2 linked regions of the Cricetulus griseus genome follow. The protein of the gene in region 2 interacts with the protein of the main gene of each other region in a biochemical or structural test. Links are inferred from orthologs where the notes say so. Each region holds a gene or a part of one and is shown on either strand. Other genes may lie near its edges.

Region 1 (7,302 bases), on a different chromosome or scaffold from region 2:
AGAATGTGCTAAAGTTTCTGTGACTTTTGACCCGTTTTGCTATCTAACTCTCCCACTGCCTTTGAAGAAGGATCGAGTTATGGAGGTCTTTCTGGTTCCTGCTGACCCACAGTGCCGACCTATCCAGGTAACAGAATTCTTCTTCATGGTACCACTTGCTGAGCAGACTCTAGTCCCTGATGGGACTGCTTTCAGTCTGCTGCATGAAAAACTCCACTGACTGACCCTCTGTCCCTGGGTCCCCTTGGACTTAGTCTGTGTGTGCACCCTTGACCTCTCTCTGTCAGACTTTATGTAAACTCATTCATTGTTGAGGATCTGTTGTAAAGGTCCTTGGGGCTTCTCTGTCACTTTCTCATTGTTTTCTATTTATGAAATTGTAATAACCTGGTTTACCTGCTTAATGGTTTAAGGTCATTGGCTCTTCGTGTCCAATTCTTTTGGTGGCTCAAAGTGTTTTCACTTAGTCTTCTGAACTTTTTAAAAATTTCTTTTTTGTTTTGTTTTTCTTTTGTTGTTGTTGCTTTGTTTTTTTTTTTTTTTCAAGACACAGTTTCTCTGTGCAGCTTTGGAGCCTTTTCTGGAACTCACTCTGTATAACAGGTTAGCCTCGAACACACAGAAATCCAACTCCCTCTGCCTCCTGAGTGCTGGGATTAAAGGTGTGTCCTATCACTGGCCTGACACCCCACCACCCACTTTCTAAGCAAAGGCAATATTCTCTGGGTGTGATGGTGCACACATTTCCTCAAGGGGAGCAGAGGCAGTTAGAAAAGATCTCTGTCAAGTTGAAGCCAGCTTGGTCTTCATAATGAATTTCAGGCTAGCCAGGGTACACAGTGAGGCTCTGTCTCAAAAAGGAAAAGAAAGGAAGGTAATACATAGTATCAAAGGCAATTTCTATGCTTTGAACAATTCTTTAAAGGACATAAGAGGAGGTGCGACACACATGCCTTTAATCCCAGCACTCAGGCCAGCACTTGGGAGGCAGAGGCAGGAGGATGTCTGAGTTCGAGGTCAGCCTGGTCTGCAAATCCAGAGAAACCCTGTCTGGAGGGGGAGAGGGTGGAGAGTAGTGACCTAATCCAAAAGTAAAGTATAAACAAAAACAATGCTTGGGAAAGAAAGAGGTGGCTGACTGTGCCTGAATGTTGAAGCTTTGCTAATATCAAAGACTTGGCTCTGTCTACTTAACTCACCTGGGCCACACACTGCCTCTGGAAGGGTCTTTATGTCCCCATGATGTGTGCTTCTCCAAGGTCACTTCATGTCCCTTGGAGTACTCCTATCACCTTGCCTGTTTCTCCTTTGCAGTGCCGTGTGACTGTGCCATTGATGGGGGCCATATCTGACCTGTGTGAAGCACTTGCTAAATTGTCTGGCATTGCTGCAGAAAATGTAAGTGGCCCTTAACATGGCTAAGTCACTTCATGGCCCCTTGGAGTTTCCTTTCCAACTTTTAGCCACTTTTGGAAGGTTGTTATTGGACAGCACGAATGTCATCATTGGTGTATGTCTTGATTCCTCGTGGCTTCTGGCCTTGATCATGATCCCTTCCAGCACAGGGAAACACCATTTTTCCTCCCCTGCAATGATGCTGCCCATTGTCAGAGGGACAAGAGTAGGGCTCTGCTTCCATCATTGTGTGCTGTGTGGGGTGTGGAGACCAGCTCTGGAAAGCCACCGGGGTCTTTAGACAATGACAGTCTCTACCAGCGCTCGCTTCTCACCATGCCTACCACTGGAGGGCAGATGTTACCAGCATGCCAGTGCTGCTAACAGCCATGTTCCTCCCTTTCATGTCCTGGCCCTAGCCTTGGGACCACTCACATGGTGTTTCTCTGCAGGCAGCACTACAGAGGGGCATTTCCGCCCTTTGTTTCTGGGTTGTAATCAGTGAGTAGGAGCTCTGTGAGCCATCCTGTCATGTTTATGTACTTACTCTTGATTCTTAGATGGTGGTCACAGATGTATATAATCACCGGTTCCATAAAATTTTCCAAATGGATGAAGGTTTAAGCCACATTATGCCTCGAGATGACATTTTTGTGTAAGTACTTAGTAGTTTCTGATATATCACCAGAAGGACACTGTGGAGGCTTTGTCCTGTTTGTGTTCCCAGGTCTGACATCATTGCTCATGTGTATCTGTCCTAGTGCCTCCCAAGGGAAATGTACGTTCAGGAAACTGAGCATTTGTCAGTACTCAGAAGCATTGCACAAACACAGCTTTGGTCAGTTGTTTGTTTCTTAAAGAACTAGCTCAGTGGTTCTGCTCTCAGCTTCCTTGCTCAGTAAGAGTCATAGCTCTACCATGTACTGTTGGCGCACAACTTTAATCCCAGCAAACAGATCTCTGGGTTTGAGGCCAGCCTGGTCTACATGGTGAGTTCCAGGACAGCTAAGGCTACACAGAGAAACCCTGTGTCTCAACCCCATCACCACCCCACAAAGTCACGGCTGTATGAGAGACCAGGTCAAACAGAGGGCTGTAGTATAGAGGGATTTGGGCTCTGCTATGGTCTCTGATCCTGAGGCAGGTGTCATGGGGCCACAGTTCCCATCTCAGAAAAGAGTAGGTGTTGGCGGCTCAGGCAATCTCAGATATTTCAGCTTGCTCATCACCATGAAGACAGTGCAAAGTGCTGCTTTGTTGAAAAACAGGGTATGTGTCATTTTCCTGGGTACAGAGGTTGCAATGGACTTACTAAATTTTGTGGCTGCTCCAGCCAACCACTTGTTCAAGGGAACTTTACTACTGGCCCGTGGTAATTTCTATAATCCCAGCATTTGGGAGATTGATGCAGAAAGGTTTCTGTAAGTTCAAGACCAGCCTAGGCTACATAGAAGGTATAGGCCAGTCTTGGCTACCTAACAAGACCCTCTCAAAAACAATCAGCTTAGCTGGTAGAGTGTTTGCCTGGTATACACAAAGAACTGGGTTTGACCCTTATCACCAAATAAACCAGGTATGTTTGTAATCCCAGCACTTGAGGGTGGAGGTAGAAGGGCTAGAAGTTTTAAGGTTCTTCTCAGTTACATGGTAAATTTGAAACTTGCCTGGGAAATGAAAGGAGGGAAAGAGACAGAGACTGAAAATTCACTAATTTTAAAAAGTTCAACTTTTTAGTGAGAAAAGGTGAAGTTAGTAGATGGGTTCCTGAGAACAGCCACACTTTAAGTCTTTTGGGGGTTAGTCCAGAGTCTGGGCTGTGTAGATTCAACATGGGTTGACAGTGATCAATCTGTAATCACTGTGGAAATGGCTTATCTCCCTTCTGTTGAAGGTACTCTGTCCTTTATAATCACAATCCTCACCACCTTGCTGCTTATATCTGTCTTGCTGATGGGGCCTCTTCTATGGCTCATGCAGGTATGAGGTCTGCAACACTTCCATGGACGGCTCGGAATGTATCACTCTTCCAGTCTACTTTCGAGAGAAGAAGTCCAGGCCATCAAGTACTTCTTCTGGGGCGGTGCTATATGGACAGCCACTTCTCGTTTCTGTCCCTAAGCACAAGCTAACCCTCGAGGCTTTGTATCAGGCTGTTTGTGATCGTATCAGGTTGGTGCCAGAAGTGCAATTTGGTTGTTTTCTGAGATTAATGGGTCCATCTAGCAACTTTAGTCATTTGTAGTATGTCTGTTGATCCATTTACTCTCTTTTGTGAAAAATGGAATTGTGCCAGCCCCTGGGAGGGTCAGGGTAGAAGCTAAAGGGATGGAGTAATTGGCACATATAAGTACCATGAGCCAGGGTTTGTGCAGACCTCCGATTCCTAGAATCATATCAAGTATACTTAGATGGCACTCAGTTGGAAGAGTGCTTGCCTAGCATGCACAAAGCCCTGTGTTCACTCTCCACCACTCCATAAAGAAGGCATGGGTATAGTGTGCACCTGTAAGCTTAGCACTTGAGATGTGGAGGCAGGTGGGTCAGGAGTTAAAGGTTATTCTTAAATATGTAGCAAATTTGAGGCCATCCTGGCATGTATGGAACCTTGTTTCCAATAAAATTAAACAATGCACGTGACCCAGAAACCATGAAACTGGCCTTTCTTGGTATGTTTATGGGCTTATTAAGTTAACATGTGATTTCTTAGGTGCATCTTAATTTCTTGAACCGTTACATTATGTTTGTTAGTAACTGAATATATAAATTATGTACTGCTTCATAGCTGCATTGTGGAGAAAGAGTTAAAAGTTAATACTAATAGTCTTTTGTTTTTTTAAGCCGCTATATAAAACAGCCTTTGCCTGATGAGTTTCTCAGCTCACCCTTGGAACCTGGGGCCTGTAATGGCTCCAGGAGCAGCTATGAAGGTGAGCATTCCTGCTGTGAGGCTATGGTGCCTCAATTTCCCTCTTCTTGGAAGAATCTGAGGTGGGCTGGTAGAGGTCAGGGTCTCTTGGGAGTCATTGTTAACCTTTGTACTTTGTAGAGTCCTCTTAGAGCCCTGCACATACACATTGGGTTTCATCTCAGACACACTGAGCCTAGAGGGATTGGGTAACAAGGCTATGGTTATGAAATAGAGTCAGGATTTACTTGGTTGCCCTATGGTTGTGACCAGTACACCTTTTATCCCAGCACTTGGAAGGCAGAAGCGGGTGGGTCTCTGAGTTCCAGGCCAGCCTGGTCTACAGAGGGAGTTCCAGAACAACCTCTAAAGCAATACAAAGAAACCCTGTCTTGAAAAACAAAAAACAAAAAAATTTAAAAAATTTATTGGTTTTGCAGTGCTGGAGATCAGGGCTAGAGTCTTGAACAATCACTGACCACTGTGCTACCTCCCAGGCCTCCAGAATCAGAATTTAATTCTCATTGTTAGCATAGCCTAGTTGGTACTTACCTAGCATGTACCTGTGCAAACCATCCTGCATGGCTGGTGAGCCTTTAGTGCCCAAAGATGACAGACGTCCTGGTCAGCTAATCAGAAGATTGAAGCTGGCTATTTGGGGCATTTCTGTCTTCCTAGGAAGCTATAGTCAGTGGCTGACTTTAGGTTCTGGGAGAGAAGGAAATCAGTGTGGAAAAACAGTACAGTGTGTTCATGGCATCCCTTGTGGCCAGGTGCTGACGAGCCGTCTTTACCAAGGAGCACACCTGTCCTGCCGTGTAGTTGCTACTCTTCTTTTGGACACTTAGGTGATCATGTGCCTTTATGCCTCCCATAAATGCCCTCAAAGCTTTGGTTTTGGTGGATTTTTAAATTTTTTATTCATTACTCTTGTGTCTTATGTGTGCATAGTATGTGTGTGGGCATGTATGAATGAGGTTAATTTTTTGGAGTCAGTTCTCTCCATCCATCCTTGTGCAGGCTTTGAGGCACAAACTCAGATTACCAGGTTTATGCAGCAAATGCCTGTATCTCTGACCAGTCTAGACGACCCCCCCCCTTTTTTTCTAGCCAGACTGGGCTAGAACTCAATTTGTAGCCCATGCTTGCCTTTAGTTCCCAATCCTCTCTTCTCTCACCTAAGCCCTGGGATTGCAGGATTTTAAATAGACTTTTAAATTTTGTTCCTTGCAAAACTGTTTTATTGAGTGTTTCATTTTAGTGTGTTTTTGTCTGTGAACCTAATGATGAGGACAAGAGGGAACTACTTACAAAAGACTCATTAAAGTTCTCTGGGTCTCTGCTTCCTCATCATGGACTCCTAGCACACCTGTGTGCCCCTTGGGGACTGTCACATGTTAAACAAATACCTAATACGATAGAGGTGTATAAAGGTAAATGCACTTTAACATACACAGCAAAATTGGAAGAAGTAATAACACACTTAAGTATTAAATAAACATTTTATGGTTTATTTGTGGGTTTTGTTGTTTTGAGACCGGGTCTCATGTAGCCTAGGCCAGCCTCAAACTTGCTGTGTGTTTATGGCTGGCCTTGAACTCACTATCCTGCCTCAGCCTTCTGAGTGCTGGGGTTATAGATAGACATCACCATACCTGGCTAACTAAAAATCTCAACATTGACATATGGGACTCACATAGATTGTTTTTCATGTGCGTCAGGAGACGACGATGAAGAAATGGATCATCAAGAGGAAGGAAAAGAGCATCTGTCAGAAACAGAAGGCAGTGGTGAGGACGAGCAGGGAGATGGCCCTAGTGAGCCCACCCACAAGGTGAAGGGCCAGCCAGGGCACAGGAGGCTTTTCACCTTCAGTCTTGTCAACTCCTATGGCACTGCTGATATCAATTCACTTGCAACTGATGGGAAACTACTCAAACTCAACTGTAAGTGCTCTCTGATGCTCAGCTAGACTGACACACTGCCATCTCCCTGAAAGTCACTTTACCTGACACTCACTCCATCAGGTTTTAACAGCCTTTATGTAGTCAAGTGAGTCCCTTGGACAATGATTGAGGACACACACACCCTCCATCCTTCAAAGGGTTTTCACCTGACTCCTTGGGTAATGGGGCAGCAAGTGTGACACAAACACAAGCATGTTCCCCCGCTCCATTTGTTTGTTTATTTTTTGAGATAGGTCTCTCTGGCAGCCTTGGCTGACCTAGAACTCGTTTTGTAGACCAGGCCAGCCTTGAACTCACAGATCTACCTCACCTGTCTCTGCCTCCCAGGTGCTGGGATTAAAGGAGTGTGCCACCATTCTCTTGATTATTTTTATGTATATGTATATTTTATGTATATGATTGATGTTTTACCTACATGCATGTCTGTGCGCCACGTGTGTGCCTGGTGCCCATGGAGACGAGAAGAGGGCATTAGATCCCCCACAACTAAAATTACAAGTGTGAACCAACCACCAAGTGGATGCTAGGACCTGAACTTGGGTCCTCTATAAGAGCAACAAGTGCTATCTGTCTAGCTCCAAAAGATAGTCGTCTCTTGTAGGTCTGCATTGCCTCAGACTTACATGCTGGCCTCGAACTGCTTATCTTCTGTCTCCCTCATGAGCCCTTACATTCCAGGCACACACTACTATGTCTTGCTTTCACCTCTGTAACAACATTCCTCTGGCTCAGTGACACTTCTGTAGTCACGTTAGGAGCTTTTCTGTAGACTTGTTTCACTCATAAGAATGAGCTCATTATTCTCTTTGTCCCCTTAAAAATACTTAATCAAATATGATGCACTTAGAGGGTAGTTATAGATTTATGTATCAGTTCCATGGAGCTTTGTAATCGTGACAGCATCTCATCAGGAAGAGGACATTCATCATGATGTCTCCATGGGCAGGGGAGAAGCTGTACCCTTTTGTGTCTTTTGCCTTCTTTCTTTAGGACAGAAATTAAATAATTAACTATCAATCCTTCACCTTCCTTTTT
Region 2 (6,829 bases):
CCATCCATAGTGTATAGAAAAACCTCTGGAATTACTGACTGAATTAAAAAAAATCATCCTGGATTTTCTTTATTGTGCATTTATCCATCCTTCTTAAATCTGCTTACAGCATTTTTGAAGCTCTGGATATATTTGTGTTCCAGCTCAGCTACTAATTGCACTTTCTTCAAGGCAATGGAACCAGGGAAGAGCACACCTATAAACTGACAACTGTCAGCCTCTGAGCACAACTTTCCCTTTCTTGTGAGATTCAACTGCAAAGACTCACCAGGCTAGCATGGCACCTAGACTTTGGCTGTCACTGGGGACATCAAGTATACTGTCATTGTTATATTTAGCTGTTTCCTGAACCACTTTCACTACCCTGGAAGATATTCCGGGGAGGGAAAACAAACAAACAAACAAAACAACAAATTAAAAAAAACCCTCCAGCAACAACAACAACAACAACAACAACCAGAAAAACCAACCCAAACCAAAAGATATACAATGTTAAAGACACATATTCTGGGCTTTATCAACAAGGACTGAGACATAGTTTCCTAGGAAGCCCTTCTGCAAGCCATGGAAGATACAGGAATAGCTACCTGGCCAAAGGTAATAGCCAAGAAATATAGAAAAGAAAACAAAATAGGCCATACAAAGGAGGCAGAAATGTGATTTTGACTGAGCTAGATGAATTTGGTCCATTGTGAGGAGTTGTTTCACTGGAGGGAATCATTAAGGAACCTATGTTAGGAATATTGATGTTGAAAGTCAGTTGACATTGACTTTCTGTTATCTCCATCTAATGCCTTCATTCTGGGGCCCTGACTCCTCTAAAGAGATGAAGGTGTGGGATGGTTCCAACTGGATGGTCAAAAAAGGCAGAGCATGGCTGAGGAACACCAACAGGAAGTGAGTAACAGTAGCCAGAAATGGCCTCCAGTAGTCATTGGACCTTGATCATGACAAGGAGGAGGTAACAAGTGTCCAGAAGGTGCTGTCAATATGCACCAGCTCCTGATCATCACATCTTTAGTGGGCAGAGCTTTAGAGGTGCTGCATTGCCTCCATCATCATTGAAACCAACATTAAAGAAGGGCCGTAGAGGTCCAGCAAAGGCACACTCCGAGAAGGTGTAGATGAGGGAGCCATGGTCAGTGATGTTATAGAAGGAGACAATGCCAGCTTCATAGTCTACAAAGATCCCAACTTGGCATGGAGGCACCTGAAGGTGGAGGGTGGTCTGGGGGTTGGTGCCAGCCTCATAGTTGTCTTTTTTCCACAGCCAAATGGTCCAGAAGCCATTCTCAGGACTGAGTGAAAAATGTCCCTTTCTCCGCACAGATTCTCTGCAAACCCCCAGATCCCAGGCCTCCTTCCTGGTCACATCTACCTCCCAGTACATCTTCCCAGAGGTGAATCTTTGGGCACCTAGCACCATGGGGTAATTATTAAATCTCTCATCATTTTCAGACACATTCTGACGGCTATCTCCAATCCTTGCTTGTCTCCGATCCTTTGGGATAATGAGCCATGGGTTGGCTGTGTTTCTATCCAGAGTAATATGTACTGCAGAAAGAAGATCACAGGTAAGCCTGGGTGGGGCCAGCAACTCTTTGCCTGTAGTGAGGGCATTCATGCAAACTCAAAGGTGAGGGGTGACCCTGAACCTCACTATGTGAGGAAATGACCCACAGCAACCCAGGTACTTCCTCTGACGTGTGAGGAAACCTTACCTGTGTGTCTGTACTACACTTACATTCTCTTGACACCTCTTCCACATGCTACCATCCTGTGCTCTCCATGACCGTCTACTCTGCACCCTTATTATCCCCTTCTATTCCAGCCCACAGTTCCTAGAAGTCACCTCACCCCAACATGTCCTCAGCATCTTCTTCCGCCCTGGCACATGGCATGCATTTGTCAGGTCCGGGGAGGTAACATCTAATGATTCCAGGTTCAAGGATCTACTCCTAGGGAAAAAAGAGTTTGAGAATCTTACTTGGCACTCCTGTCTTCTACTCTAGGTCCTAATGACATTCTTCATGGACTGACTTTGATAATCACATTCAATACAAACTTACAAATACTCATGAATTCACTGTCTATGTGAAAGGAAAAAAAAATAGTTTCAGAGTTCCACGTTCTAGGAAACTCAAATAAACCTCCACCTCTTCCCAAAGCTAGAGGTCACTACTAAGTGGATTCCATTTAGTTTTCAGGCAACCATCTAATAGGGTGAGTTCTGTGAAGAACCTGGGGAGTCCTAGCAGACTCAGATTACCTTTTTTTGGCGTGGGGACTTTATAAAGATGATATAGTCTAACTACATCAGGCAATCCACCAAGTGAGATGCCCATTAGCCTTTTGAGGCCAGAGAACAATTTAGAGAGGACCAGGTTTCTGAGAATAGGGTGCATGGGGAAAACTCCCAATACATGTGTGCCTAACTCAGTAACCATTTCTATGCACACATACTTCCCGTTCCCTTTTCTAACTGAGGAAACCTCTCCTTACCTTTCCAGGACAATTGTCACCTCCTGAGGAGAGAAGAGACACAGAGTCAATTCTGGAGTTTCTGATTGACAGAATTCCCAGGGTCATGTGACATCACCCATGTTTCCTCTGGGCCCTGCTCTGCAGCCTTTCCTTGGGCCACAGACAATTCTGACTAGTTCTTAGCAGAAAGGACTCATGGCTGCTCTTAGAATATCTAGGAAGCTAACATGGATATGGCCTGTAGCTAGGATATGACCAGGGCTTTACAGACTGATTGAGAAAACAAATTAGAAGGGCTAGGTTCTTGGAGGAGGGGGGTTTACCATGGAGACAGTAGAAGAGGAAAATAAATAACACAACCTGACTGAAGCCCAGAGGCAGTTGCAGGAAGGATATCCTTCCTGCTGAGGTAGGATATCCAGAAAGGCTCCTTGCCATTTATGGGATTGAATAGTTTGGGGAGAAAGGGTTAGTTGGTTGAAAGCTTTGTCCTGTGCTGTGGTTAATCCTCTGCCTTATTTAGAGTGAGCTTAAGTGAGAATATTCCTTCCCATAATGTTGGAACTGGCAACCTTCTAGGCTCAGTCAAAAGGCACTAGGGAGCCAGTTCAGGGATAGGAAAGGGAAAAGCAAGGGAAAGCCTTCCAAGCCAAACCAATATAATCAGCTTTTCTGAACAAACACTCAAGGAAATGTTTATCTGAGAGACAGGGACGGAGGTGTGAGAAAAGAAGCACAGAGATCATCTAGACCATAGTCTTCCAACGTGGGGTGGGGCTAACATATCATGGGTGGATGCAAGATGGCTTTAGAATACACACGGATTTTAAAAATAATGATGTACGTGTTTCATCTTATTTTTTTGTCTCTTACTACTTAGATAAACTGACGTCATTTAGCTTGACTCTCTCACTAAGTCTCTTAATGTCTCTGCTCCTTAGTTTTCTCACCCATGGACTTGGATCACAGTAGCACTTACCTGAACCATGGTAAGTCATCTGTGTGCTGTTTAGGAATCTGCAGTTATCATTACGGGAAAAAATTAGAAAAAACAGTAGCACCAATATGTAATTTCTTAGTTATCATGCCTTGGCAAAAATTATTTTAAAGCTAAATTTATTTTGGGGAAAGAGTGAGACTATTTGCAGAAGCAGAACAAATTAAAAATCATGTAGGGAGCTCTCAGGAATCCAGGAAGTATTAAAATCCAACTACGACTAATGTTAGGCACACTTTCCTGCATCCACTCCCCTTATGGCTTCATCAGTGGAGACACTGACTATAGGAAAGAAAAACAGTCCCATAACCTATCACTATGGAGAGAAATGACACAACTCAGTTTTGGAAATTATACTTTCAAAAACATTCTTATGGCTACTTGTCTAAGCACCAGAATGGATGTTCTCATTTAATTCCTTAAAAAAGAAAACCACTTGAGATATGTAAATATTTATATATAATATATATATATATATATATATATATATATATATCCATATATCCTGGTGACGTGTGCTAAGTGTCATGCTCCAGCTCCCACACCTGGCACTACCGGGGATGTCCATCTATTGGCTACTACTTGGAGCATGTTCTCTTGTATCTATACCCTGTTGTTCTGCAATGGAAGCCACTCCTGGGTCCACATTTCTGTTTATTTAAGAATGTCCCAAAGATTAAGGCAGCACTTGCATTAGGAGCCATTCCAGAGAGTTCTGGTTTTCTCCCAGTTACTCCTGGTGCCTGTGCATGGGTCTCACCTGCAGTAGCTCCAGCTGGGAGCCCCGGCTCCTCCTCTCCAGCTCTGCGATCAACTCCTGCAGGGCCTGGTTCTTCTCAGCTAGCTCAGCCTCCTTCTCCCCCAGGAATTTCAGGTGCTCCCTCTCATCCTTCTCCAGTTTCTGTAGCTGCCTCTGCTCTTCCTTGGCCAGCAAGCTATTCTGATGTACAAACTCCGAGTGAATCCTCGACTTTTGTATGTCCACGTTTCTCTGAGGTGGCAAGGGCAAGACAGGAGTTTTGCATTTTTAGTTTTAATAAAAATTTCCTAGGCTTTGGTGGCAGAGGCGTTTCTGTTCCCTGGTCACTCATCCCTCTGTTTATGTCTGGGAATAGGTGCGCGCACACACCCACAACAATGTGCGCTCTCCAGTGTGCACACGGCTGGCCTCTAGCAAACAGCATTGTTTAAGTGGCACACAGCAACTTCTGGCACCAACATCTTCTCAACTTTTCTTCCAAAACCCAGTAATGCCTATGTGAGTCCCTGTGTTCTCCTTCTATCTTGACAAGTCACAGAGAGTAAAATCTTTTCCCACTTCCAATGATGCACAATTCCTAGGCCCGAGGGGACAACAGTGGCCTCAGTACAGTCTTTGCTATCTTGGGAGGGTCACCGGATGGCACAGATGATCTCGTTTCTTTTGCCACCACAGCTTGATTCAGTCTTTGCTAATCCCATTCCACTTTTGGGGTCTGTGATTGCTCTGAGCCCCTTACACTCCTTGTCAATTTCAGATGTATCCTTTTTTCTCCTGGCAAATTACCAATGCGACAGACTTTAATTCTTTACCAGGCTTTGCACTAATAGCCTGGTCATCATTAAGCAGCCACCGAGTCAGGTGGGCCTCCTACCTCAGACTTACATAGATCCTTTCCGGCTGTTCCCTCCCCTCTTTGTCATGTCTAAAGGGTGCAGGAGTTGGGATTTTCTCACAGGATACCTCAGACCTGTTATCACAAGACCGTCATTCACCGAGACAGGGTCAGAAGGGATGGTGTGACCTTCTTAGACTTTCTGCAGTAATTCTTGAACTTTGTGACAGATTGGGGGAAATCTCATCTGATTTTAAGCTTCCTTCCTTCTTTCTTTCTTAAATTCTTCTCTGTCTAGAGATATAGTGTGGATGGTCCTTGGGGAGTGACCTATATAACAATTCTCCCACCCCTTGGATAGGCACAGTCATAGTTAATGCTTGCTTGAGATCAAGACCTGGGACCCAGCCTATCCCCGGGTTCTTGCCTTCCAGTCTGTTCTTTGCATTGCAAGATCCATTTCCAGCTTCTCGGCGAATTCTTTCCCTTTCCTCAGTTTTTCTAAAGCCACGAGGAGCTTCTCCTGTAGAAAAAGGTGGTAGGTTAGTCCCCAGATAGAGATGTGGAAGAGGGGAATGGGAAGACTTTGGGGGAAACCTAGTATGTCTTACAAAACAGAGCGACACTGATGGGGAATGGGATCTGGTCATTACATTTCTAATTCACCAGGAAGCCAGAGGAAGCATAATCCACGCACATCCCACGGCATAGTCTCGGCTCCTGAGAAATAAGCTTGTATTTGATGCACAAGTTCCTCTCAATGAGAAACTACCCTCCATTCCCCTGTAAGGATGACTCTCAGTCACTATGCTGGGGAGCGGAGCATTCTTCATGGAGCACCTTCTTTATATCTATGGGTGTCTCTGTGCTAGAGCCTCACCTGGTATACCCGAGCAGCTTCTTCAATAGGGACCTTGGTGTGGTCAAGGTGTTTCCCAGACTGGGCACACACCCAGCAAAGGGCCTGCCCATCTTCCTCACAGAACACTAGAAGTTTCTCTCCATGCTTCATGCAGCGGTCTTCCTGGGTGTCCTTATTGGCATCCCCGGCTGTTTGTTTAAGGTCTTCTACCATGTTGGCTATACGTCGAATGGGCCTGAGGTTTCTGAGCAGAAACTGTTGCCGGCACTCGGGACATATACCGCCACCATTTTTCCCGACCTCAGAAATGCATTCCTTGCAGAAGCAATGGCCACATTCGATACTCATAGGCTCCACCATGGAGTCCAGACAGATAGAGCAGATGACATTTTCCCACATCTTTTCCAGAGCCATCTTGGAGGATTTTGAGTGCAGAGGAGGAGGGAAGAGATAAATGAAAGTTTGCATGACAAAAGCAAAAGCAAGACAATACCAAAAGTTCCCAAAACAATGCAAAGGAAAACATGTGAGAAAATGACACAGGAGAAGGAAACAAATGAAGGCAAGAGTATCAACCTGCACAACAGCAGCCTCTCCTCCCTAGTCTGACCCATTGATCTAGTCAGGCAGAAGGGGAAACTGAGTTTCCAGAAGAAACATTGGAAAGTGGCGGGGATAATGCTGTTAATAATTCCAGCTCATCATATCCATCCCTGCTTTAACCCTCAGTGTCCAGACTTCTCTCACACACTTTCTCTCATCTTGCGCCTCCATGGCGCGGAGAGTGACCATTTACCATATGCCATATTTACCAAGCACCCTCCATATTCCAACTGGGTGCTACATTGCTTATGTCCGTCTTCATTAATCTTGACAATAACTGCAGGAGTA

What was found. The genes of interacting proteins can lie anywhere in the genome.
Region 1: of the proteins of Trim21 (region 2) and Usp4, one has a biochemical effect on the other in vitro, tested with the Homo sapiens proteins (2 studies listed by BioGRID). The link is inferred for Cricetulus griseus from reciprocal best matches to the Homo sapiens genes TRIM21 and USP4.

What each region holds. Positions count from the first base shown.
Region 1 is NC_048597.1:216,545,651-216,552,952, forward strand, and holds part of Usp4 (ubiquitin carboxyl-terminal hydrolase 4), read left to right. Parts: coding exon 1-127; intron 128-1,314; coding exon 1,315-1,398; intron 1,399-1,955; coding exon 1,956-2,050; intron 2,051-3,372; coding exon 3,373-3,564; intron 3,565-4,233; coding exon 4,234-4,322; intron 4,323-6,021; coding exon 6,022-6,246; intron 6,247-7,302.
Region 2 is NC_048596.1:96,822,304-96,829,132, reverse strand, and holds part of Trim21 (E3 ubiquitin-protein ligase TRIM21), read right to left. Parts: intron 6,353-6,829; coding exon 5,957-6,352; intron 5,600-5,956; coding exon 5,504-5,599; intron 4,473-5,503; coding exon 4,242-4,472; intron 2,526-4,241; coding exon 2,503-2,525; intron 1,959-2,502; coding exon 1,858-1,958; intron 1,555-1,857; coding exon 1,010-1,554; 3' UTR 1-1,009. UniProt on the Homo sapiens protein: E3 ubiquitin-protein ligase whose activity is dependent on E2 enzymes, UBE2D1, UBE2D2, UBE2E1 and UBE2E2.